Linked DNA regions of Ovis aries. The protein of the gene in region 4 purifies or fractionates together with the protein of the main gene of each other region. This does not show direct contact. Links are inferred from orthologs where the notes say so. Each region holds a gene or a part of one and is shown on either strand. Other genes may lie near its edges.

The links.
Region 1: the proteins of PARP1 (region 4) and TOP2B purify together in Homo sapiens (affinity purification with western blotting; 3 studies listed by BioGRID and IntAct, with this or other methods). This does not show direct contact. The link is inferred for Ovis aries from reciprocal best matches to the Homo sapiens genes PARP1 and TOP2B.
Region 2: the proteins of PARP1 (region 4) and MTA2 purify together in Homo sapiens (affinity purification with mass spectrometry; 3 studies listed by BioGRID and IntAct, with this or other methods). This does not show direct contact. The link is inferred for Ovis aries from reciprocal best matches to the Homo sapiens genes PARP1 and MTA2.
Region 3: the proteins of PARP1 (region 4) and LIG3 purify together in Homo sapiens (affinity purification with mass spectrometry; 3 studies listed by BioGRID and IntAct, with this or other methods). This does not show direct contact. The link is inferred for Ovis aries from reciprocal best matches to the Homo sapiens genes PARP1 and LIG3.
Region 5: the proteins of PARP1 (region 4) and RPA1 purify together in Homo sapiens (affinity purification with mass spectrometry; 3 studies listed by BioGRID, with this or other methods). This does not show direct contact. The link is inferred for Ovis aries from reciprocal best matches to the Homo sapiens genes PARP1 and RPA1.
Region 6: the proteins of PARP1 (region 4) and CTCF purify together in Homo sapiens (affinity purification with mass spectrometry; 6 studies listed by BioGRID and IntAct, with this or other methods). This does not show direct contact. The link is inferred for Ovis aries from reciprocal best matches to the Homo sapiens genes PARP1 and CTCF.
Region 7: the proteins of PARP1 (region 4) and APTX purify together in Homo sapiens (co-immunoprecipitation; 3 studies listed by BioGRID and IntAct, with this or other methods). This does not show direct contact. The link is inferred for Ovis aries from reciprocal best matches to the Homo sapiens genes PARP1 and APTX.

The regions. Positions count from the first base shown.
Region 1 is NC_056079.1:39,507,395-39,510,894, forward strand, and holds part of TOP2B (DNA topoisomerase 2-beta), read left to right. Parts: intron 1-2,085; coding exon 2,086-2,195; intron 2,196-2,776; coding exon 2,777-2,869; intron 2,870-2,965; coding exon 2,966-3,080; intron 3,081-3,500. UniProt on the Homo sapiens protein: Key decatenating enzyme that alters DNA topology by binding to two double-stranded DNA molecules, generating a double-stranded break in one of the strands, passing the intact strand through the broken strand, and religating the broken strand.
Region 2 is NC_056074.1:37,480,782-37,484,911, forward strand, and holds the start of MTA2 (metastasis-associated protein MTA2), read right to left. Parts: upstream 2,801-4,130; 5' UTR 2,420-2,800; coding exon 2,392-2,419; intron 2,288-2,391; exon of another isoform or gene 2,013-2,287; intron 1,660-2,012; coding exon 1,592-1,659; intron 1,216-1,591; coding exon 1,122-1,215; intron 1-1,121. Other genes in the region: EML3 (echinoderm microtubule-associated protein-like 3), read right to left, coding at 3,436-3,639, 3,722-3,852. UniProt on the Homo sapiens protein: May function as a transcriptional coregulator. Acts as a component of the histone deacetylase NuRD complex which participates in the remodeling of chromatin.
Region 3 is NC_056064.1:14,812,603-14,816,699, forward strand, and holds the start of LIG3 (DNA ligase 3), read right to left. Parts: upstream 2,801-4,097; 5' UTR 2,488-2,800; coding exon 2,375-2,487; intron 667-2,374; coding exon 119-666; intron 1-118. UniProt on the Homo sapiens protein: Isoform 3 functions as a heterodimer with DNA-repair protein XRCC1 in the nucleus and can correct defective DNA strand-break repair and sister chromatid exchange following treatment with ionizing radiation and alkylating agents.
Region 4 is NC_056065.1:28,693,606-28,697,105, forward strand, and holds part of PARP1 (poly [ADP-ribose] polymerase 1), read right to left. Parts: intron 828-3,500; coding exon 662-827; intron 1-661. UniProt on the Homo sapiens protein: Poly-ADP-ribosyltransferase that mediates poly-ADP-ribosylation of proteins and plays a key role in DNA repair.
Region 5 is NC_056064.1:22,831,594-22,834,473, reverse strand, and holds the end of RPA1 (replication protein A 70 kDa DNA-binding subunit), read right to left. Parts: intron 2,048-2,880; coding exon 1,961-2,047; intron 606-1,960; coding exon 501-605; downstream 1-500. UniProt on the Homo sapiens protein: As part of the heterotrimeric replication protein A complex (RPA/RP-A), binds and stabilizes single-stranded DNA intermediates that form during DNA replication or upon DNA stress.
Region 6 is NC_056067.1:34,736,546-34,740,045, reverse strand, and holds part of CTCF (transcriptional repressor CTCF), read right to left. Parts: intron 3,480-3,500; coding exon 3,359-3,479; intron 2,773-3,358; coding exon 2,623-2,772; intron 1-2,622.
Region 7 is NC_056055.1:38,142,323-38,146,309, reverse strand, and holds the start of APTX (aprataxin), read right to left. Parts: upstream 2,801-3,987; 5' UTR 2,290-2,800; coding exon 2,222-2,289; intron 1-2,221. UniProt on the Homo sapiens protein: DNA-binding protein involved in single-strand DNA break repair, double-strand DNA break repair and base excision repair.

The DNA.
Region 1 (3,500 bases), on a different chromosome or scaffold from region 4:
TTAAAGAGTTATTATGGAAAATTTTATGTAAGTAGAATAGGTTAATGGGCTTCCCATGTACTTAAGTGTCATCATTTCATGAACAATCTTGTTTCATCTGAACTCTTCTCATCGCCTTCCCATTAGTTTGAAATATTACGTTGGTGCAAAAGTAATTGCAGTTTTCCTTTGTTGAACTTTGTCATTTGATATTGGAGTACATTCTTAAATAAATGTGGTTATATTATACATCATTTTACTGTGCATTTCTTGCTATATGTTCTTTTCGTTAATGACTTGTTACTTGTTATTTATTATATATTGATTTTGGACTGTGGAGATGATGTTAGACAAAAAGCAAATTTGAGCAGTTTTCTTATTCAGGTTCAAATGGGTTGTAAAGCAGTGGCGACAACTTGTAACATCAATAACACATTTGGCCCAGGAACTACTAACAAACGTACAGTGCAGCTGTGGTTCAAGAAGTTTTGCAAAGGAGACGAGAGCTGTGACGATGAGCACAGTGGCCGGCCATCAGAAGGTGACAGTGACCAGCTGAGAGTCATCTCTTAAGCTGATTTTCTCACAACTACATAAGAAGTTGCTGAAGGACTCAACAGTGACCGTTCTATGGCCATTTGGCATTAGAAGCAAATTGGAAAGGTGGACAAAGCTCGATAAGTGGGTGCCCATGAGCTGAACAAAAATTTTAAAAATCATCATTTTGAAGTTGTCTTCTCTTGTGCTGTGCAATAAGAACTAACCATTTCTTGATCGGGTTGTGACGTGTGATGAAAAATGGATTTTATATGACAACCAGCGACGATCAGCTCAGTGGCTGGTCTGAGAAGAAGTTTCAAAGCACTTCTCAAAGCCAGACTTGCACCAAAAAAATGTTCACTGTTTGGTGGTCTACTGTCCATCTGATTCATTACAGCTTTCTGAATCCTGGCAAAACCATTACATCTGAGAAGTATGCTCAGCAAATCGATAAGCTGCATCAGAAACTGCGATGCTAGCAGCTGGTATTGGTCAGCAGAACGGGCCCAGTTGTCCACAGCAGTGCTCAACCGTTGTCACACAGCCAGCGCTTCAAAAGTTGAACAAATTGAGCTATGAAGTTTTACCTCACCCACCATATTCACCGACTTCTCACTAATTAACTACCACTTCTTCAAGCATCTCAACAACTTTTTTGCAGGGAAACTGCTTCCACAACAAGCAGGAGGCAGAAAATGCTTCCTAAGAGCTTGTTGATTCCTGAAGCACCAATTTTTATGCTATAAGAATAAACAAGCATTTCTTGTTGGCAAAACTGTATTGATTGTACTGGTTCCTATTTTGATTAATAAAGATGTGTTTGAGCCTAATTACAGTGATTTAAAATTCATGGTCTAAAACCTCAGTTACTTTTGTACCAACCTAATAAATTCCAGGCATTAATAATATAATTAATTTATATAGTACTTTAGTATGTATTTCTAAAAGAATTTTTTGCTGCCCATCATACCATTATCATACCTTTCTTTAATAACCTTAAATATTCAATCTGTTAAAATTCTCCTGACTATATTAAAAATGTTCATTTATATATATATATATATATATATATATTTTTTTTTTTTTTAATCAGGATCCAAACAGAGCCCACACAGTGAATTTGGTTCATAGGTCTATTAAATCTTATTATATTGTTTTTCTGTTTTCCTTGTGATTTATTTGTTTAAAAAGTTGGATAGTTTGTCCTATATCATTTCCCACATTCTGGATTTTGTTAATTTCTATAGCTTTTTTTTTTTTTGAGAGAACATTTAATGTCTATTCTAAGTAATTTTCATATATGCAGTATGGTGTTATTAACTATAGGCATTATGCTGTAATTAGATTCTCCAGAATTTATTCATTTCATAACTGAAAGTTTGTACTTTTGACTGACATCTCTCTATTTCCCTCTTCCCTCAGCCCCTGGTAACCACTATTCTACTCTGTGTTACTATGAGTTTGACTTTTGTTTTTTTTAGTTTCCACATACAAGTGAGATCATACAGTATTTGTCTTTTTCTTTCTGTCTGGCTTATTTTTACTTTCATTTTAAAAATTGTGCAGGGTTGGGTACCAGTACAGCTAAGGAAGCCAAGGAATACTTTGCTGACATGGAAAGGCACCGTATCTTATTTAGATATGCTGGTCCTGAAGATGATGCTGCCATTACCTTGGTAACAAAGTTAATTAAGAAATCTCTCTAGACAGAGGGGTGGGGAATGCATTGAGAGAGAGTCGCATTGACTTGCATGTACTACCACGCGTAAGGTAGTTCACTGCTATAGAGCACAGGGAGCCTAGTTCGATGCTCTGTGATGGGGGAGGGAGGGAGGGAGGCTTCAGAGGGAGGGCATACCTGTATACTTATGGCGGACTCATGTTGTACAGCAGAAACCGACAAAGCATTGTAAAGCAACTAAACTCCAATTAAAAATTAAAAAAATCTCTCCCAGTATCCTTTTCCTCTGTCTGCCATCCTCCCCCTCCCAGTCTTGGCTTGCTGTGGTATGTCTCTTTTTAATTCTAAGCCCAGCCTAGTTAATCTTAGTGTCATTCCCCATCACCTCAGATTATGCTCTGCTTTCATAGTTCTTTAATTCAGAGACCTCTATTCAAATGTATTTTTGATAGAAGTGTATTGGAAAAGACTGTATAATTTCCCAGAAATTAATAATTAATTATTTGCTTTTATAAATTTTAATTCTATAGTGAAATTAATTTTTTTTAATGTATTAAATTATCTGGAATTTTTCAGGCATTCAGTAAGAAGAAGATCGATGACAGAAAAGAATGGTTAACGAACTTTATGGAAGATCGGAGACAGCGTAGGTTACATGGCTTACCAGAGGTTAGTCATAAAGAGCTGTGATCTGGGGGAAGAAAGAGAAAGGCTAAAAATCCATGTAGTAATAATGACATAATTGCTGTGTGACTTTTCCCTTAGCAATTCTTATATGGTACAGCAACCAAGCATTTGACTTATAATGATTTCATCAACAAGGAATTGATTCTTTTCTCAAACTCAGACAATGAAAGATCTATACCATCTCTTGTTGATGGTAAGTAGCTTTTGTTTAAGAAGCTTTTTCATTTTTGAATGTTATTGAGCGTATTTTAATTTCATGTATTTTAACCCATCCTTATAATAATTTTTAAAATTCTAAAGTTGCTTTTGAGATGTTTTAGAAGTTTTGAAATATTTTATAGTCTTTAATTTGAATCTTAAGGCCTTTTTGAGTTTCTAAATAAATTATTAATAGCTTGCAAATTTTTGAAGTTTTAGCTCCAACTTATTGGAGACTTTTTAAAATAAAAAGTAAAATGTGATTTTGGTAAGTTCCAGAGTATTTATCAGACCAAATTTTAAAAGTACCTTTACTCCTCAGTACCCGGAACCTCCCATCCAACTACTAACCAGGCCCAACCCTACTTAGTTTTCAAGATCAGACAAGATAAATCTCATTCAGGGTGGTATGGCC
Region 2 (4,130 bases), on a different chromosome or scaffold from region 4:
AGTTTGTTTTGGGGGCTCTCAAGGACAGTACCTCTCAAGCCAGTGCCAACACCTTATTCCCCAAGGAGCTGCAACTTGCCCTGAAACCTTAGTGGAAAGGGTTAACTTGGTTGGGTGCCAACCAAACAGGGAGGGGGCAGAAGAGCCACAGGCCCAGGCTCATTGGTGCATTGTTCCCAACCTCAAGGAGAAGGGGGGGGCAGGGGTGTGCAGTAGGCTCCACCCCTTGCCTGTGTGCTCCGGAAACCCTGTGCTAAGGCAAGGGGGACCACACCCCCCACAGCCTTTCCGATTGGACAAGACCAAGGTCAGCCCCTGCCAGACAGGGTTGGAAACCCCAGAGAGCCAGAGAACTTGGTCGGCCCAGGTCCTCCTTAACCCCTTCACGCCCAATGCTCAAAGAAGCCCAAAATAAGGAAAATAATTTAGAAAGGAAGAACAAGAGAAAGGGGAAAGAAAGCCAAAGCAGGAAAGGAAAAAGAAACTATAAGAAAACAGAAAGCTGTGTATCTAAAAAGATGAAAGCATCAAGAGAAGCAGGATAGGCTGAAAAGAAAAGGGAAAGATGTAAAATGGAGTCCAGGGCTAGGTGAGTCCTAGGCTATGTGAGAATAGAGAAAAAGCGCAAGAAAATGTTCCTGGCTTCCTATTTTCTCCCATCAGTGTAGTCTTACCACCTCATGATCACACCAAAAACCTGCCTTCCTATTATGCAGGCTTCTCAGTCCAGTCTCTTCTCTTCACCTGACCTTCGCAGTCACCACCTATCATCCCAACACAACCGAAACTGTCCCCCTAGAGATCTGCTTCTCTAAAGTGCTTCCTCATCCCCGATTTACATACTATCATCTCTTTAACATACACCATTCACAAAGGCAGATTCAAAAATACACACTCACACACAAGCCAAATTCTGGCTTTCCTTATCATGGCCTCTCCACCTTGCTTCTAACCCAACATGTAAAAACAGGCCTCCCTCTGCAGACCAGGCACTTCCCACCCCCAAACTCACACCCCTGCCTTGGGCATGCTACAAGAGAACACCTGCAGGGACATGCCCAGGCTTCAGATCATGGGCAGGGGGAGACAGGGAAACCGGGGGTGGGGACAAAGACACTCACTGGCATTACTATCAGCCAGGCTGTTGAGGCTACTCGAAATGTCCCTTCGCCGGAAAAGGCACACAACCTTTGCCTCCACGTTTCCATTTGCAGTCTAAGGAGAGAAAAAACGGTGGTGAAAACTAATCATTTGAAAGTGGAAATGCATAAAGAAGAGACTAACATCAGTGAACAAGTTTCTAAAGGATGTAAGAAAAACTCAAATTATGAATCAAGAGATTCACATTTAAGGACAGACTTCCAAATCCCTTTCCTCAGCCCCCCAAAAAACAGAACAGTAAAGTTCCCACTAAACTCTTAATAGCCTTTCCTGAAAGCGTGGAAGAAATGAATGAATGAATATGCATGGGTACTTAGGACAGGGTTTCTGTTATCGCTTGTCTCTCATTCACCTGAAGTTACAGATCTCTGAAAAAAGAAGACGGAGGTTGCTGGGTAGGGGGGGAGTGGCGGGCCTCTGCTCTACTCACCTTGTTGAGCTCTTCAATCCTTCTAACCAGGTAAGGATTGCTGGAGGAGTTCTCAAAATAGACGTAATCTGTAGGAGGGGGTGGGGGAAGAACCGGGAAGATCAGAGGAGTAGATGGGAGAGTCCAGCACCAGAGTGGGAGGAGCGAAAGGAGGCCTGAGTAGACCAAAAGGAGATAAGGGTCTAGGTAGAGAGGACGCAGAAATGTGGAAGTGTACAGACTAGCAGAAAATAATGGACGGACGTTCCACCCCCTAATCACCCAGTTATTAAATCAGATCCTCCGCTCAAAAGTGAGCCTTAAGGAGGAGACAAGAGAAGCAGGGGGTTCCCCTGCTCAGCAGTCCCCACAACTCAGCGATGGAGTTGCATCCCGGTCTCGTTCAGGAGAGCAATTGCTCATCCCTGTACAGGGCCCCCACCTTTGTGAACCGAGGCGCACAATAACGCCTGGGAAAAGGAAACCTCCCGGCCGCTCCCCCGTTGGTGGCCAAGCAGTTGCGCCGGCCCTTCGCGCCCCCTGCCTGCCCTGTCAGCCCCTTTGGAACCACTTTCGCAAGCCCACTCCACGACCCCGGCGGCCCAGACGCTGCCCTGAGAGTGCCGTCGGGCCGCCCGCAGCCTCCCCGGGAGTCTCGGAGCCCGGGCGCGTCGCGATCCCCGCGCCCTCGCTCCCCATGCTCCCGGTTCCGGTTCCGGTCCGCGCTCTGGACCACGCCGCCCCAGACGCGGGTCCCCGCGCCGCTGGGAGCCGAGCCTCTCCCGCCCCGAGTCCCGAAGCCCCTAACACCCGGTACTCACCCCCCACTCGGTACATGTTGGCCGCCATGGCCGTTCCCGCCGCCGCCGCCGCCGCCTCCGGCCGCACAAAGGGGTCCGGAAGGCTCCCGAGGGCAGGACTCGAAGCGAAGCCCTGAGCGCGGGGCCGGCGCTTCGCAGAAGTCTCAGTCGGGCCCGCGCAGCCGGCGCCTCCGCAGCCTCAGCCGTCGCGGCTCATCCCGGCCCGCGCTGTCGCCGCCGCCTCTATAGCCTCACGCCCGGGACGCCGAGACCGGCGCCGGTCCGCTCGGCTTCTTCCGGAACGAGCTCGGATCCCGCCGGACCGGAGGCAGGCTGCAACTACCTCCGCCCTCGCCGAGTCCCACCAGACGTTGGACTCTGAGGGCCGCCGCGAAGACTTGCCGGCCCGCCTCGGGGTTCGCCTCCTTCCGGAACACCTTCGGCGGATCCGGAGAACAAGGCCCAGCACTCGGCTCCGGTCGGAGAGCAAGCCCGCAAAGCTCGGCTACTTCCGGAAGAAGTTCGGCTCCCTCCGGCCAACCGCGGCCCGGCACTCGGCTATTTCCGTTGCGGCTCGGCCCCGCCTCCGAGGGCGGGGAGAGGAGTTGGGCTTAACTCTCTGCTAGCCGGAGTCTTGCAGCTCCACCAGCGGCCGCGAAAAACTCGAAGGGCCTTTGAGCCTCGCAGTTATTTGCAAGAGGCTTCGCCTGTTATTTGCATAAAAAGTCCACCCTCCCTCACCTTTTCCGCATTCCCCTTTGCCTTCCTCCCCGCCCCCATAAAGCCCCGAGGCGCCCAGCCGCGCCCCACAAAAGGACCGGGAGGCGACTTTGCTTTTGGTTTATTGCCCCTCAGCAGGCAGCGGGAGTCAGGGCCCAGGCTGGGGCTGCCCGGCTCAGCCAGCGGGTCTATACAGTGTGTGCAGGGGTGCCGTTCGCCCCCTCCAAGGAAATGCACTTTTGGGAATGTCTCGAAGTCGAGGACAGGGTCACCTCGGTCCTGGGGAATTTGGGTGGGTGGGGGCAGGGCCACACTGCAGGGCCGGTGGGTCCAGTCCGGCAGGGGTCAGACGTCAAGAGAGGAGGCAGGGGACAGGGAGGGGGTTCGAGAGGGCGTGGTGGGCACCGGCCCCGTGCCCCCAGCGCCCAACACTCGCCACTGGAAGATGCTGGCGTCCTTGCCGCCCAGCGAGATGAGGTGCGAGTCGTCGTGCGTGAACCGGACGCTGGTCACGTGGCTGCCGTGACCACCGTACACGAGGCTCGGCGCCTGGGCAGGAGAGAAGATGGAGCTGCAGCGGCCGAGGAGCTCCGGCCGCCCGCCCCACCCCGGAGGCCCCGGGAGGCCTCACCTTGGCGTGCGCGCACGGGTACTGGAAGAGGTGCACTTTGCAGAAGTCGTCGGCAACGGCCACGACGCGCTCGTTGTGGGAGCGGCACAGGGAGTTGATGTCAGTTCCATCCGAGCCATCTGGCCACACGCCTGTCACAGCAGCCGGCCTCAGCCCGACCTCCCCGCCCCCACCCGCGGTCCAGAGCTGCACCATTTCCCCCCTAGCTCAGGCAGCCCGGCCACCCACCCACCACGTTCCTGGCAATCCTTCCCAGTCCCGAGGGCCAGTGGCGGAGGTGGGGGAGGGGGGCGGCTCTTGGGCTGGATCTGCCAGTTTCTTGACGTCCACCCCCTACACATGTCCAGCATTCCGAGCCCCAGGCTGGCTGCACCTTGTCCCCCCACACTCACGCAGGTTTCCACGGCCC
Region 3 (4,097 bases), on a different chromosome or scaffold from region 4:
TGAAGTTATTTCTGAACAATAAACTTAAAGAAAGACAGGAAGAAAGAAATTGGGTTCTACTCTCATCTCGTTGCCTCTCAGAGCCAGTAAGATGAGAAAGCAGTATTCTCCACCCTACCTGCAATGTGCTGACTTATCTGCTCTTTCTCATTCTCTTCCAGCTCTTCCCAGCCTTCCAGCTCGGTGAGGTCCTCAATTTTTTTTGTGGTGGCCCGGGCCCGCTCCAGTTTCTCAAACATACATTTAATGTGGTACCACTCTTTCATATCGCCCCCCGCCTCTGAAAAGGGATTGGGCACCACTTTGCCAATTCGGCATACGCCCTTGACAATCTTTTCCTTGCATTTTTTGCAGCCGGCGGTGCCACGCTTGGCGTAGTCCACACAGAAGCGTTGTTCTGCCATCTCACAGGGACCACTGCAGAGTCCCACATGCGACCCTGGCAAGAAAACAAGGCAGGCGGCACGTGGTCTTAGGTTGCTTTCCCGAAAGGACGGAACAGGCTTTCTTCTCTGGAGGTGGTGGTGTCCACGAAGAACTGTCTCTGACCACTGGCCAAAGTGTCTTATGTCTGGCCGGTGATGTTCTCGGAATAGGCACAGTTCTTTTTTCCTGAGTGCACGGAGAGTTGGTGGGAAGAGGATCTTAAAAGCCAAAGTCATACAGCTGCATGGAAGGGGAAGAGGCAGAAAAGTGAGTTACAGAGGAGCTAGGCTTCTAATTTCCTCAAAGGCTGACATCCTAACACAATAATCCATGCTGACCAACCAAACCTCTCCCAAAGTATGAAGGATTTTTTTTTTTTTTGGCTGCTGTCTGATCCCTGACCAGAAATCGTACTTCCGCCTCCTGCAGTGGAAGCTCGGAGTCTTAACCACAGGACCACCAGGGAAGACCAGGTATGAAAGATTTATTGCCTACAGGATGAACAATTCCAGTACAGAAAAATTCAGTCTGCAACAGGATGTTCAATTACATAATTGAAAATTTAGATATTATCTAATGTATATCTAGTAAATCACAATCAAGAGAATTCAAGTAACATAAAACCCTTTCTCAGGCCACCAGCAAACCCTAAGCCTTAAAATGGATGGTGACCCTTTAGCATAAGATTCTAAAGTTTCTTTTTAAACATCAAGAAAAATTACGTCGGGAGTTCCCTGGTAGCCTAGTGGTTAGGACTCAGTGCTTTCACTTCTATGGCCAGGGTTCAAACCCTGGAGGAGGAACTGAGATATTGAAAGCCAAGTGGTGCAGTTAAAAAAAAGAAAAGAAAAAGACATTATTTTCAGGAAGCCTTTAATGTGAAATATAAAATATTTGTTATCCTCAGAAAATAATTAAGCCACTATATAGATCTGTGATTAAATCAGAAGCCCTATTTTGAGAGGCAATTAAATGGAGCCTAAAACCTAACCCCCTGGTTTCAAATCCTAGTTTACGGTCATAAGACCTTGGGAATTTCCTTAATCTCTCAGTTCCTCAATTTCCTCAACTGTAAAATGTGGATAATAATAGTACCTAACTCAGACAGTTGTCATTCTAAGAATAAAAACCCTTATATAGTCAATGAAGCGATTATCCTTTAAGCAAAGGCTCCCTGTGTGCAACTAGCCGGGTTATAATTCAGCAACTTCAATCTGAAAATGCTGAAGTAACTGGACAAGCAAGAATCAAAGGAACTGCTCAATCAATCCACATGGTAACAAGGACCATATCCACATAGTATCCCCCACTTTCTTTTATCCTTATTTTCTAAAATATCCTCCCAGTTCCAGCTTTCAACAGACTGGAAGTTATTTTCAGCCTGCACCAGGCTTTGTCGTCAAACTGCTTGCGGATGATAATGAAAAGCAGGCTTTACTTGCTGAAGTGAAACGTGATGCAGAGAACAGCAGGTAACTGGGAATCAGAGACGCGAGCGCAAGTGTGACCGTGCAGTTCAGAGACTATGTTATCTTTTGAGAATTTCCCTTAACTTCCCCGAGTCAGCTTCCTTATTCCTAAGACAGGGAAAATATCTACCTCAAGGGAAGGGGGGAAATGACACTGGGTCCGTGGATGGGCGAATGGGAGTGGGGGGTAGGGCTCTGAACTCCCTTGCAAATGTATTCAAAAGGTGCGCATTCAGCCTTGTACGTTTTGGGGAAGAAACAGTCAACGTTTTCATGAAACTTCACAAAGGGCTCTGTAACCCCTAGATGCTGAACCACAGAGTATGTGAAAGTAGAGCAGGCCCGTAAGAGGCGCTCAAGTTAAAAAAAAAAAAAAAAAAAAAATTAGGGTCCACCACCTTCCTGGAAAGCGATTTATGAAAAGCCGCCCCCAGGACGCCAAGGAGCCGGGGGGGTGGGGGGGGGGGTGGGGAAGGCACCTAGCCGCGCCCCTCCTCCGCAGGGTCCGGGAGGCGCTGGGCCACCAGGAGGCTCGGAACCGTTTGGGGAACCCCGCCTGGCTCACAGGCCCCTCGCGGCCGCCACTTAGCATTTCCTGAGGGAGCCGAGAAGGGAAGCCGTTGAGGCCCGAACGCAGCCGGGCCGGGAAGTGAGAGCCCCGCGGCCGCTGCTCCCGGAGGGGCCTCCCCTTTCGGGAGGGGGTACCGGCTACCCGCCGGGGCCGCGGGGAGGGCGAGGGGCGGCCAGAGCACAGCCCCGGGCTGGGCTGAAGGGGACGCGGCGGGAAGAGAAAGGCTCCCAAGCTCCGTCCGCAGCGCACCGACTCGGGCGGCGGCTGGGCGGACCCGGCCAGAGGAGCCCCGCGGGGGCGCCCTGCCTCCCCGGCGTGGGGCCGCGGGGGTCCCGGGAGCCAACCCCCGCGGGCTCCCGGGGGGCCGCCACGTCACGGAGGGTGTGCCCCCGGGCTCTGCGAGCCGGCGGGCGGGGGAGGAGACCACGGGGCTGGCTCCCGGGCCGCGCCGAGCCCCGCACTTCGGCCGCCCCCCTTTCCCGCAGGCCGGCCCCGCCGCGCCGCCCCCTCACCTGCCTTCCGGGCTCCGGCGCCGCCTCAGGCCTCGGACCAGGCGCCCACAGGCCGCGCGCAGCCACGACGGTTGTAGTGCCTGTCTCTTTAAATCCGGGTCCTCGAGCTGGCCGCAGCACGCAGGCGCAGAGGCCCAGGCCCCGCCCCCCCCGCAGCCGCGCCACGCGTCCCAGCCCCTTGCCTGCCACGTGGGAGGTGGCCCGGGTGCTCCGAGTGCGGCTTGGTCCGTGGGGTTGGTTCGCGAGGTGCCACTGCGGCTGGAGAAAGCAGAGGTGCCGAGATGTGGCGGCGCCCTGAGGCGCATCCTGTTCTCAACTTCTGAGAATTTACCCCACCCCCTCCCAATTTACCCCATTGGCTCTTGGTGTTAGAGAGTATCTGGTCCTTAAAGGTCCTGGTCGAGAGACTATATTGTAATGAGCTTGGGGAAAGCAAAGATTCATTCTATTTTTCTGTATTCTCTCTGTCTGTGTCCCGCAAAGTGCCTAGCGCATGGTAAATATTTGGTAAATATTATTGAATTGAAAAGGGGCACTGGATAGATACAATATTAAGGAGTCATGGGTACAGTAAACCCTTGATGGTGTGTTGTGTATTTATTTTAAACCTCAGGTTAGCTTTTAAGGTCAACTTTTTGAGAGATTGGAACGGCTGTTTTTACAAAAGGATAGTGGACTCGGAGGTGAGAGAACTTGTTCACGGTCTAGGAAAGGTAGAGCAACTGGGCATTGTTACGTAAGCAAAGGTCAGACCCTGGGGAAAATTCTGTGCTCTCTGAAAAGGATCCTGTCGTTAAGACTCCCGGCTTCCACAGCAGAGGGCGCAGGTTGGGTCCCTGGTGGAGAACTATGATCCCGCATGCCCTGGAGTGCAGCCAAAAAATTTTAAAAAAAGGTCATGCCCTTTGTTATGTAGAGGATGGAGAGCCATTAAGGGGCTTAAGAAGCAGTGAGGGAATTAGTCAACCAGTGCTGGCTTGGGCAGAACGTGAAAATGGAATGACAGAGGTCAGCATGGCACCATACAAGGCTGCATCATTGACTCAGTGGGCATGAGTTTGAGTAAATTCTGGGAGGTGGTGAGGGACAGGGAAGCCTGGTAAGTTACAGTTCATGGGG
Region 4 (3,500 bases):
GCAGGAAACTTAAATGTATATTACTGAGTGAGATAAGCCAATTTGAAAAGGTTACATACTGTGTGATTCTAACGACACAATATTCTAGAAAGGATGAAACTATGGATATAGGAAAAACATCAGTGGTTGCCAGGGGTTGGGAGATGGAGGGATGAACCGGTAGAATGCAGAGGAATTTTATAGAGCAATGGAAATACTCTGAATGACGTTATAATGATGGATATGTCATTATACATTTGCCCAAACCCTTACAGGAAAGATGTACACCACCACGACTGAAGGCTGATATAAACTCTGGACTTTGGGTGAACTGATGTGTCAACGTAACTTCAGCTGCTGGGAGAAGCTGAAGGTGGAAGAGGTCACGCCTCTGTGGAAACTCTCCACTTTCCATACTTTTTGCTTAATTGTGCTGTGAACCTGAAACCACTCTAAAAGAGGGTCTAGTAAGATAACCACCACAGCAAATTTAAAGGCTACATTTCAAGCATCTAGAAGTTAACATATCCTGTACCAACAGGACAACTCTGGGTCATTGGGATGCTGCTGGAGTAACGGGAGAGTGAGCTGAAGGACCTACTCTTTGCTCTCACAGAGCAGGCCCCTGCCCAGGAAGCTCCAGGGTTGGGGCGACCCCCGCACCTCCCCGCTGGGCACACACCTGTCGCTCCTCCAGTCTCGGCCATCTTCTTGATCTTCTGCTGGTCATCCCAGCGGAGCTCAGAGAACCCCTCCACCTCAACATCAGGGTGCCAGATGGAGTGGCCGACCTTCCAGAAGCAGGAGAGGTGGTGCCAGTGTGGGATTTTCCCATCGAACATGGGCGACTAGAAGGGCGGAATCAGAGGTGGAAAAAGAGCTGTGAGCCTCAGGCGCGGGCCTCAGCACCAGACATCCCCAACCCCCTTGCTTATCTGTCAACAGAGGACGGCACCCACCCCTCAGCTGAGGAAGCTGCCTTGCCTGCCCTGGGACAGGCACCAGGCCATCCCGTGGGGTTGACCGGCACTTCAGCTTAGCGTTCAGCCCTGAGCGCGGTTACCAAACTTGCCACTGCGTTTCCGTCGCAAACTCAGCTCAGAGCTTGGCGAGGGCATAGGAGGTGCCCGTCCTGCTTTCTGGCGCCCCCCCCCCCCCAGCGGACCACCGCCAGGGCCCGCGTGGCCCCCAGGGCTCCATGCACCTAGGACAGCGGGGAATGAGTCCCCGATGAGCGCCAGGCTGAGCAGATGTGTCAGAGAAGTGGCCTGCCGGCAGCAGCCAGGCAGATGTGCACGGAATGAAGGACTTCCATGAGGGAGACTGAAAGGGACCGGCAGGGCGGCACCCCACCCCCAGGGGCTGGAGGGACCCTGCTGCCCACCACCCACCATGGGCCACCCCACAGCTGTCTCTGAGGAACCAGCACCCTCATTTCACAGTCTCATGGGGGTGCGGTCAGACATGCAGCAGGTGATTCAGCCCCGGTTCTTTCCACTACGCTGCTCTACGTCGCTCGGCAGGAAGAGGTACTTAAAAATACACAAACGGTTCTTCTGACTGAAGGTGCCAAACATCTGCTTTGATAGGACAGAAATCTAAATGTCAAGCAGATGGCATAAAACAGCGTTAAAAATAAACACCCAGCAGAACGTTTAGGATGGAGTCATGCGGACACAGAAAGTGCTAAGGAAAAGCAGGGACAAGCTCTCCCAACTGGCCCTCTCCTACTAGGTGAGCAGCCTCTCTCTGGGTTTTATAGACAGCATTGAATACAATACAGGGTTAACGGCTGGGGCACAAGGACGCAGGGTTGCGCAGCGTGGGTTTACAGCGGCAATGGCTGTCCCCTGGGCTCCCCAGCTCTAACCAGAGCCAACAGCACTTCCTCATGTCCCATGACAGATGCCCCTTCCCATAGCTCCCCAGAGTTAAGATTCATTTGGGTTATTATTTGATCAAGGCCTGTGCCCTGCGTCGGGTCAGGAGCTGCCAGAGAGGCGCCATGCAATGCCTGTCTTGCCAGCACAGTCACGGCAGGCACTCAGAACATTTGTGGGGTGCCCCAGGTCTGGAGGGAAGAGGAAGAAAGGAAGGATGGAGGAGCTCCTGCTGTGGGAAAGATGCTTACTCCGAGACAGCCCTTCCATCCACAACCAGTCAACAAATGTCATTTCAGAGAACAGACTCGTGTCCTGGCTCTCAAACGTTCACCAAGGCAGCCAACATATCCTTAAACGCCTGGGCGTCTTGTTACAGCATCTGCAGTGGCCTTGACCTGGCTCTGCCTGCCCTGGAGCCCCTCTTTAAGCCTCCTTTAAGTGCAGAGAGGGGGCCCCTGACTCATGGCTCTGCCCACCCCTCACTGGAACCTATGGCCACGATTTCTTCCTGGCTCTCTGAGGCCCCCATACGTGCTCCTTTAACTCTGGCCTGAGTGCTGTGTCCCCAGCCACCGGCACAGTGCCAAACATGAAAAGCCTCCACCAGGGTATACTCATGGCACAAACTCCAGGACTGCTGAGGCCACTGGTCTCCCTCCAGAGGAAAGAACCCTTGATCTGTGCAAAGCTTTATACTTAAGAACTCAGGACAGGATGAGATGGCAAGAAAGTAACCAGGCTAAGGTCACAAGACTATTGCCTCACCAGGCAGTCGCGGGGCTCCAGTAAGGAGCAGAATTCTTGGCTGTAGACTCAGCAAACATAAGTGCCCACCACGTACCAGGGTCCTTACCGAGCCACTCTCAGGCTGCTTCCTGAGAAATGGGCTATAAAAAAGAGGCCACACCAGGGCCAGCCTACCCCAGAGAGTGCAAAGCAACTGTTACCACGAAGAAAGGAAGAAAGGCAGCAGGCCTTTCCTGCAGGCCCTCCCAAGAACACCAAGGTCGGGTGCATTCCCCTCCAAGCTGCCCCAGGGCCTGCCAGCTAAAGTATCAGGTATTTGATACTCCAAGAACAATCCTCCCACACAAATGTAAAAGAAGGTATTTAAATCCAAAGGAGGGGTGGGGGAAGAAAGGCTTCTTTTTTCTGGCCTTCACCAGCTCAGCCTAAAGGACCTACAAAACATTTGTGTAAACTCCACCCTCAATTACCATTAGAGAAAAATCATACTTAATTTTAATAACAAAATTTCCTTCACTAACAAGTAAGCAGGAGAGCCCAGAATGTTACACTTTATTTAGTTTAGAAAGTGATTACTCACTTGGTGGAACTGCCTGGACTAGAGCCAACCAGCCTCTTTACTCCTCACCCACGTCCCAATAGAACAGGGTCCTCTCTGACTGTCCAGTGAAGCCTATGGATGTCCCTTTCTCAGACTAACATTTTAAAATGCACAATAAAATGTGTAAGTTCACAAAGGAAGTCAATGGTATTAAAATAATTATGAAAACATTTAAAAAGTTGACTGGGATACAGTAATCTACAAGTCGCTCAGTCCAACTCTTTGCGACCCCATGGACTGCAGCACGCCAGGCTTCCCTGTCCTTCACCACAAACTTTAAAGCATTAAAT
Region 5 (2,880 bases), on a different chromosome or scaffold from region 4:
GCCTTTGAAATCAAGGAAGACAGGCTTCCTAAAACACTCAAGTTCCTCCACAAAACCACTTCTCAGCACTCCCCTGGGAAGGGGCCCGAGCTGAGAAGGTGTCGCCACTGGAGAAGCGGGAACCCTGCCTACATAATTTAGTTCACTGTCTACAGATTGAGGGTCAATTTCCTGTGACATAATTTCTGGTTGAAAATAACGAGATCTTAGTAAAACTGACAAAAGCCTAAGGACAGGGGGTGAGTGGCACTACAGTCTGTGCAGCTGACCCCGAGGTCTGACACGGTTTACACCAGAGCCCTGCGAGCGTATTTCCCTTTGCTGTCAGTGGGTTCCCAGGTGTGACGAGAGGCGATGGCTTAGTCTGTGGTAGAGGGGTGCTCTGCACCGCTGTCAGTCGGGGCGGGGATGGTGGTGCGCGTGGAGGCTGGGGGTGGGGGGGGGGGGGGGATTCAATCAGCCCTCTATCCACACGCTCCTGCCCCCTTGGCAGGATCCTCTCACATCGCCGCGTTCCTCCTGATGTTCATGACCAGCCTTCTGCCGTATTCTTTGTAGTCCACAGGCTTCACATCCACCACCGTGGCCTTAATCCGAGACTCATCCTTTGAAAAGAGAAGAACGATTTGTGATGGAAGAAACACCTGTGGCCATGCTCCTGGTTTCAGTGACCCCAACAGGAGAGAGCACGAAGACATGCTGGTGGTTCAGAGTCCCGAGAGCCCAGGAAAGGAGCCGTGCTGATGAGCACCGGGGCAAAGGCCCTGCACCGGTTCCTCATGGTCCCAGACACTCGGAAACCTGGACTCCAACAGAGCCAGAAACGGGAGCCCAGAAGACAGTGGCTTGCTAAAGCTACGCCACGGGCTCTGTGAGCGGGCGGTAGGAGAGCAGCCGTGCTCGCAGCAGAGGGCGAAGCCTGCTTCGGCCTGCCTCAGCTCCGTGAGAGGCGACCTTGCTGCCCTTCACCACCCCTGCCCACGCCACACAGGGACCAGTGACCCTTCCACCCCTCCCCCTCGACCACCCCCACCCCACCCTGACACCACACTGCTGACATCGAAAGGCTCATTTAATGCTCACAAAACCAGGCACAGCTGTTAGCAGGTATTAGGGTTCAGGCCTGACAAGAAAGCAGAGCAAGCAAATCCTGAAACAAGCAAGGTTTTCTGAATTCTCCTGTCGCCTGTTCACCAGGTTGGACAGTGCCTTCAGAGGCAGACTGGGGTGAGGCCAGCTCAGGGCCTGCACACTCCAGCTCTGTACCTACAAAACCCAGTCAGATCTCTAAGCATGTGTAGAGCTCTGAGGCTGGACTGCCTACATGCAATTATCAGCTGTGCCACTTGCTAGCGTATGAATTTAGGCAAGTTACTCAACTCTCCGTAACTACAGCTTTTCACTAGCAAAATGCAGGCAACAACAGTTCCTTCACACAGGGTTACTGCTAGGATGAATGGAGACGAAGTATGCAAAGGGTGGGGAACAGTATCTGGCAGATAGTCAGCACTCAATAAAGGCTGTTTTTTCATGATTTTATAATTGTATGACGTTATGAGCAATTAAAGGAATTTCCAAGGTAATGTTAACCACATGTGGTCTTTCTCTCATATACTGACTTTAGAACCCAAACCATGGGGAAGATGGGGTTTGTGTCTGTCAGGACACAAACCAAAATCCCCCAGGTTTTAACTGAAAAGGCCACACAGCATGTTTTCCTTGGCTGTTATTACTGGACATGACCCCTAACCTCTCTCTTGGTCTGTTTGCTCATCTGAAAACAGAGATGGTAACAGCACCCTAATGTTGGTGACTCAGTGAGTAATACATGCAGGGTGTTACGAGTTGGGTCTGGAACACAGTAAGCGAGGAACTGACAGCTAACACTGTAGTGGGGTTGTGGGTGACAGACGAGAGTTCTATGCTGCTACCCTCACGCACCACGGGTGACGCTACTTACATTGTAGGTCTCCAGTTTGACCCTGATCCTGAACGTAAAAGATCGAAAGTTGGCATTCTGGAAAACTTCCTCAAATGCTTGCTCGTTCTGCAGAAACAAAACGTAAAACTGTCAGCATGGAAACTACCAGACCACCTTAAATTATCTATACGGTTTTTAAAAAGACTTGGAGGAAAATCTCTGAGAAAATGATTACCTCCCAGTGGCTTGAAATTTCTTAGGAATGACTAATATATAGGTGACATTTCATCGCATAAAACTGTTTAGGTAGAATTTTATTAAAAATTAAAATACTCTACCTAGAGTACTCAATTTCATACAGACAGAAAGTGGAATGATGGCTGCCAGGGGCAACAGACAGTTAGTGTTTGATGGGTACAGGGTTTCAGCTGAGGAGGATGAAAAAGTTCTACAGCTGGATGATGGTGGCAGCTGCACAGCAATATGAAGGTATTTTAATGCCGGTGAACTTATACATGTGGGCTTCCCTGGTGGCTCAGCTGGTAAAGCCACCTGCAATGGAGGAGACCTGGGTTCAGTCCCTGGGTTGGGAAGATTCTCTGGAGAAGGGAAAGGCTGCCCACTCCATATTCTGGCCTGGAGAATGCCACGGGCTGTATAGTCCATGCGGCTTCCCTGGGTTCAGTCCCTGGGTCGGGAAGATCCAGCGGAGAAGGAAATGGCAACCCTCTCCAGTACTTTTGCCTGGAAAATTCCATGGACGGAGGAGACTGGTAGGCTATAGTCCATGGGATTGCAAAGAGTCAGACACGACTGAGCAACTTTACTGGTTCACTGGTATAGTCCCTGGGGTCGCAAAAGAGTCGGATACGACTAAGCGACTTTCACTCACTCACTCACAATGGTAAATTTTACGGATATTTTATCACAATAGAAAAAAACTAAACACTCTTAAACAC
Region 6 (3,500 bases), on a different chromosome or scaffold from region 4:
TTGGAAAACTGAGCAGACGATGGAGCCACTTACTGAGACAAGGAGTAAGTGGAACAGGGCTGAAGCCTGAGCTGTGTGTCTGTCTTTGGGGCAAGGACATTTAGAGTTGAGGGGAAAGATTAAGGAGAACATGAAAATGAAGGTAAAGAAGCAATACTTGATCATGTAAAGGTTTCCAGGAACACACAAGAATGGAATCAAGGCAAAGGGACAGGCCACAGACACGAAGAGTGACACAAGGTCTCTAGAAGCCGATAGGGAAAGAGGATGAATGCAGGTAAGTTACACATCTGGAAAGAGGAAATTTGAAGTTTCAACCTGCTGCATTTTCTGTGTGTCTAAAGTAAGGAAAGACGTTACATACTGAGACAAGGAGAAAAGGGAAAGAAGGTTAGAGGTTTAAACAAAGTTAATGATTTACCCTACTGTCTTAGTACTTCCTACATAGCAGGTGCTCAAACATCTGTGGAATGAATTAATGGGACACACTCACTGAGGAGAATGGGAACACAACTGATGAGGACAAACAGCTGGAAAACTGAGGAGCCCAGCTGCGTTTAGGATCAAGAATTTATGGTGCTAACCATCTGCTCAATCAAGGTGCTATCACTTCCAACTTTTGTTGTTGTTTAGTTGCTAAACAGTGACTTTTTTCGACCCCATGGACTATAGCCACCAGGCACTTCTGTCCATGGTATTTCCCAGGCAAGAATACTGGAGTGGGTTGCCATTTCCTCCTCCAGGCATTGGCAGGTGGATTCTTTACCACTGAGCCACAAGGAAAGCCTCGTATCAAACTTAAAGAGGGCCAATTCTGGGTAATGGAAATAAGGTAAGAGAAAGGGATGGCTCACTTTTTTACTCCCTACACATGTTCACTATATGAAGACTTTTTATACATAAATATATCATTTCAAGTAATTCTTAGACTCAACTTCTGCTCCTCAGACAGAGAGACCTAACAGTTAATGTCAAAGACTTTCTTATGTTTTTATTAAATATTTACAATAATAATTCTGTAAGGTTGGAATTATCCCTATATTATCAGTTTAAAAAAAAAAAAAACACCTTATTAGAACAGTAAGTATTTGGAGGTGAATCTTGACTCTGGTAGGTCTGCCTCCAAAGCCCATGCCTTCCTGTATCCCAAGGTGATGAATCTTAATTATTGCATATTAATGTGAAATCAGACCTGCTTTAAAAGAGGGAACACAAACTTGGTTTGGGAATGGTTTGGGGAGATAACTATTATTTGACAGCTCCTTAACTACCTCATAAAGAGTTCATTATGTAAGGTCTAAGAGGTTATCATGCAAGTACAAAACACTCAAGGTTTTCATTTGCATCAGGATAGTGAATAACTTAAAAAAATCAAATAATCCAAACAGTGGCCTAACAGTTCACACGGTACCATGAGATATTACTGGTTTAGGTTTTAGTTTCTATATGGTAAGAACAGTAAAACTCTTTCATTTATCTGAGAACAGTACTTCTTAAATTTTTCTGAAATCCTTTCCACACCAGAGTAGGATGAACACATGACCTGCTGGATCTTACGTGGAATCCAATGTCCTCTACTTCAAGCTCACAGTTTCATCTTAAAAATGTTTTATGTCAGTCTGCAGTTTGTTCAATATAGTCATATTAATGTAAAAATGTTTTAAGATACTAGTTCAATTGTATAACTTTACTCAAAACCTTTTGAGTAAAACCAATGGTGCAGAAAGACAGGCCAGGTTTATGATATGGTTTGGTATGCTCCTGATATGACCTGGGTACTTATACACGCCCCAGTGTGAGAAACAGCTCTAGAGGGTTCCAGGAGACTGAAGTCCAGCTTTGCCACTCATAAGCTGTGTTGTATCACTTTGGTCAAGACACCTGTTATCACCAACAAAGCTCAAATAAATACGCCTTGATGACTTCATATGGTTGCTGTGAAGATCAAATAAGTAAAAAAGTAAAATAAAAGTATAAAGACAACCTGCAAGATACAATTTATCTAAATGCATTATTATTATTATTTTGTAGGGAGCAATGTATTTTGGACAGAGAACAGACTGGGGCAGTATTTTTAACTATTTTAAGTAAGAAACACAAAGGGATAAATTCAGGTGACCTTATCTTTAAGCATATGAGTTATCCTAAAATTTCTACCACCAAACTCTGCCTTTATATTAACTGTAGCTTAATTATGTACAGAATTATAGCTATCACCAAATCAACACAACAGTCTAATTACCTAAAGTACAAATATTCTGGGGGAAAAAAAAAAAACCAAAACTGAAGTGGACTGACCTTAGTTTGAACCATACTATGTTACTTTCCTATTGGGGGACTTTTAACATTACCAGTGAAGGCTACTAATTAAAAATACACTTTCCTCTCATTATAGCTGCCATTTATTTACAGATGAGGTATAGTCAAGAAAAAATTTTGTAGTGTAGCTTCAGTAAGAGAAAGAAGAGACAGAAGAAAATAGCATAAGCAATGACGTTTATTAAACAGCAGGCCATTCACAACACACAAAACTCATGAAGTCAGAAAAGGAAGTAACCTGTGATCATTATCTTCATAGACTTGTCAAAATTTATTGAATTTGCCACTAGTTAACTGACTTACCCAGATCACTTTTCCGGGCTATGACAGTGTCACAGTGGGGACAGTGAAATTTGGCCACATTTTCTGTGTGCTTCTGTAGAATGTGCATCTTCATGGTACCACTTTGGGTAAACCGTGCATGACAAATATAACATTCATAAGGTTTTTCCCCTTCAAAGAAAAAAATACAGAATGAACAAATTAGATGAAATGACTAAGTAACTGCTATTTAACTGGAAGGATACCAGGTGGCAGATATGCCAAGCCACAGAGGACCTACAGTTCTTAACTCAGGAAGGATGAGGCTCAGGCCCACTGCCTGGCTCAGGCCTATCTTGAGAGATGAATAAGAAGTCCCAAACTGTGGCTACCACCTCTGCTCTGCCCAGCTCTGCCACAGAGTCCTTCATGTTAATAAGAGTAGTTTCTACAGCAGTACTTACTTTTGGAGGAGAGCAGATGGGATGATGGCAGGAGGACCTGAAAGTTTTCCTTTTTAGAAAAAGACTGTACTTTGAAAAACTGACAGGCTGGGTTAGGTAATCTACCCAGACTTCTAACAGTAAAAAATTTCCATTCTCCAGTGTATACTCAGAGCAATGAATTCTGAAGGTATGCCAGAGAACATCTGTCAATTATATACTATTTTCATGCCTGTTTCCATTTGGGTAACTAATAAGAGTATGTGGTGGTTCACAGGGTGCCATGGGATCCACTAAAAAGTGGTTCATTAATGCAAGCAAGGGAGAAGCCCTACCTGAATGGGTTCGCATGTGCCTTTTCAGCTTGTATGTGTCCCTGCTGGCATAACTGCACAAGCTGCACTGGAAAGGACGCTCCCCAGTGTGAGAGCGAATGTGACGTTTTAATTTGCTGACCTGAAATACAAAAGCAACAAA
Region 7 (3,987 bases), on a different chromosome or scaffold from region 4:
AGACTTATATATGAACTGGTTAGTTAGGTGAAAGTGGGCAGCCTAATTAGCTGAGGAGCAGGAAGTGGAGGAAGGAATCAAAGAGAAGATTCCAGTCAAAAGGAACAGGACAGTGTACACGCATGAAGAAGCAGTTCAGGGTTGCTGCAACCTAAAGTATGAGGTCAATAAGAGGCTGGAGATGCAGGCAGGTCCAGATGAAGCAAAGCCCTGGGTGATGGGCTGAGAAGCTCAAACTTTAGAAGCTCTAATGGATTTTGCAATTTAGTAAACAATAAATATTTGCTTAATGAAAGAAAAGATAGGGTGAATGAAATGACAGATCTTTAAATATTATTAAGCAGGACTTTGACTCAGATTTGTTTTCAAGGATCACTTGGGGCAGGATGGTAGGTAGTTAAAGAATAGTTATGCAGGGAATTGATCTAGAGACAGGGAAACCAGTTAGAAGGCCATCATATTTCAGGTGAAAGAAGGTTCAAAGTAGGACATTAATACAGACAAAAAAAGAACACAGATTTAAGAACTACTTAGAGGGTAAAATCAACAAGACAGTGATGGATGTGCTAAGATTAAGTACAGAGAAGACAATATTTGAACAGTCTGTGGGACTAGCAAGCAGAGGTATCCAGCAGGGTAGCCAGAGGTAAGAATGAAACTCAGCAGAGGTCTAAGCTGACACTTTAATTTGGGAGCATACAGGAAGGAGTTAAAGCCATGCTAGTTGACGTGCTCATTCAAGAATTGTGTACAGCATAAAAAGAATAGTGGGCCAAAGTCACAAGCCTTGGAAACACCCAACATTTTAGACAAGGAGGGAGGACTATCCACAGGAGAAATTACTGGTGAGGGAAACACTCGGGGGGAAAAAAAGCTAAAATGTAAGCTCTTCAAGGGAAGGAGGCACTTTGACATGTTCATCTGTATATCACAATAAATGTTTGTTGAATAAATCAGCTTAGTGTACTGTCGTGAAAAGCAAAGGAGTAAAGAGTAAAAAGTATCACCACGTTTGCAGCAAAAGGATCCAGTAATGATCGGAAGTGTCAGTCGCTCAGTCATGTTCGACTCTTTGTGACCCTATTGTGACCCACCAGCCTCCCCTGTCCATGGAATTCTCCAAGCAAGAATACTGAAATGGGTTGCCATTCCCTTCTCCAAGGGATCTTCCCAACCCAGTGATCGAACCCTGGTTTCCTGCACTGCAGGCACATTCTTTAGTGTCTGAGCCACTAGGGAAGCGTAATGATTAAAGAACGTATATTTGGTTTGATAATAAGTCACTAGTGACTACTGTATAAAATTTTAGGGGAATAACAGATCTGAAAGCTAGATCGCAGAAAGGAATGAGAGGTGAGGAATTGGATACAGAATTCACAATACTCTTCAAAAAGTCTGGATAAGGAGAAGAGAGTTACTGTATGTGAGCTAAAGAAAGATGGATCACCAGGAACTTTTTCTTTCTGGCTTGGGGGATAAGGAGCAGGGATCTGAATAACCTGACCTTGTTTATACATGACTGGGACACAGACAAGGGAAGAAAAGACAAATGAAAGCCCCGGTTTCATAGGTGAAAACATAAAAGAAAGGTCAGAAGCAAAGATAAAGAAATTTGTTTTGATCAAGAGACAGATCATCCTCTGATATTGAAGGAAAGGTATAGATAGGTGGTATCAACTTTGACGAGTGTATGAAAAGAAAGCAAGGGTAGAAATTTGAGGGAAAGCACATCGGATGAACTCAATTTTCTCCCTAAAATAGCAGATAACAACAAAGTAAGGTGTCTGGGCAGTTGAGAATCAGCTAAAGACAATCAATATAAATTAGTGGACAACATCCAGACCTCTGAAATCCAACTGCTCACGTTCAAATCTTCCCTCCACCACTACTCACTGCATAATTTGAGGCCAGTTATTTAAACTAAGACTTCTTCAGCTGGAAAACAATATTAATTATGGCTCTACACCACACTGTTGTCACAAGGGCTAAATTAAGATGTAAAAAGTTCGGCACCTGGCAAAAAAACAGCATTCAACATCATTACCACTCTCGTTAATAGTGAAGAATAGGCGCTATAAGGAAATGTTAAAAGATCATCCGACAACACTGCTTGCAGCGAAGGTGACAGGGCACAAATGTTCTGTCTCCCTGAACAGAGTAGTCCTGTCCTCTGTGTTCTAATGGCTCCCGATATATATCAAATTCTCAAAAGGCTCCAAACCTGGACCACATTAATTCCACATGGAAATTATAGCCTTGATTTGTTGAACCGCTATCATTGGTCTGCATGAGAAAAGGCTTGATTCTTCTGGTCTTCCTACAAGGCCAGCTGTGGATGCTGTGAAGGGCCCTCAAATTCTTCTCAAGGAGCGTTTCTGGAGAAAACAAAGTCGCTCCTGACAGGCTGCGAAGCCTCCTTGGGTCAGACAGTGCCCACTCTCTAATCTTTTTTCTGCTTGTGCTCTGACTAAGCTAGGTTCAGGTGTCAGGCGCATAGGTGAACCAACGCGAAGTGCAGTGGAGACCAACACGAGCGCCGCCAGCCGCTGAAACACGGCAGGAGGGAAATGGGCAGCCCTGGGCCTTAGAGCCCGAGGATGGAGCAACGCCTGCTTGCCTGCCGGGAAAGAGCCGTGAGAGCGTTATTCAGGGAACATTACTCTGGGGTAGAGGTGGACTCGATGCCCACACTCACGGCTCTCAATACGGCAGGAGACGAGGTAGGCCGACAACCGCCTTACCTCCAGATGGCTGAGGCCAACAAGCTCACGTTACTCCTTCACTTCCGGCGCTGAGGGATGACGTTGCAAGACAAACTGGGGCGCAACCTGTGACGTTTCCAGTGCCTGTCGGAAGACTGACTGAGGATCTCGCTAGATGCCCGGATGGGGAAGTGCCCGCCCCATTTGGTTCCGAACTGGGCAAAAGTCCAAGTTTGGTTCCTGGCAGTTAACCAAAAAACGACGAGTTCTCTCAGTTCCCCTCTATCCGAGAGCCGCTCCCCAGTCACCACCTCTTAATCTCTGAATTGGGATACACTTCAGGCAGCTATCCTCTCGGTGGCCGCTTCTAGGCAGCCATGCAGCATCTTGATTTTCGCTTTCCCTTCATAGGGAAAAGCTCCGGAGAAAGCAATGGCACCCCACGCCAGTACTCTTGCCTGGAAAATCCGTGGACGGAGGAGCCTGGTAGGCTGCAGTCCATGGGGTTGCTGAGAGTCAGAGGTAACTGAGCGACTTCACTTTCACTTTTCACTTTCATGCGTTGGAGAAGGAAATGGCAACCCACTCCAGTATTCTTGCCTGGAGAATCTCAGGGACGGGGGAACCTGGTGGGCTGCCGTCTATGGGGTCGCACAGAGTCGGACACGACTGAAGCGACTCAGCAGCAGCAGCAGCAATAAGGAAAAGCTCACTACTTTTAAAGCCACCGTTTCCGCTGTAGACAGTACCTGCTTGTGGCATTGTTTTCCCGCACGCTTTCGAAGCTACAATCGGCTTTCTCTTTTTCTGAGTGAGAAAGGTCTGAAGGGGCCAGAAGTGGAGAAACCTAAGATTTTTTTAATGCTGTCTTCACTGAATGAACTGGCTGAGGGGCTGTCAGGGAGGAGAATAGCAAGATGTTGGAATGAGATGTTTACTGATTTTTATGACAGTTCCAGGATGTTCCCTAAGAGTCATGAACTGCAAGAATTCAAAGGCATTCTGGCAGATGGAAAAACTGTGTCTCTTTTCTAATATCGTTTCCTTACATAGAGATTTAGGACTTCCCTGGTGACTCAGACAGTAAAGCATCTGTCTACAAGGCGCGAGACGTAGGATGAAGATATCAGCTATTAAAACAGAATAGGAGGATCTTCCAGGAAACAAGGGAGAGCTGCCCTTGTTGGCAGAAAAGATGCAGGTTTATATTAAGGTCACACCAGGAAGTGCGGGAGCACAAGGAGCAGCTCCGCGGCTGCACAGGCCTCATGGCAGTGGAATGTGG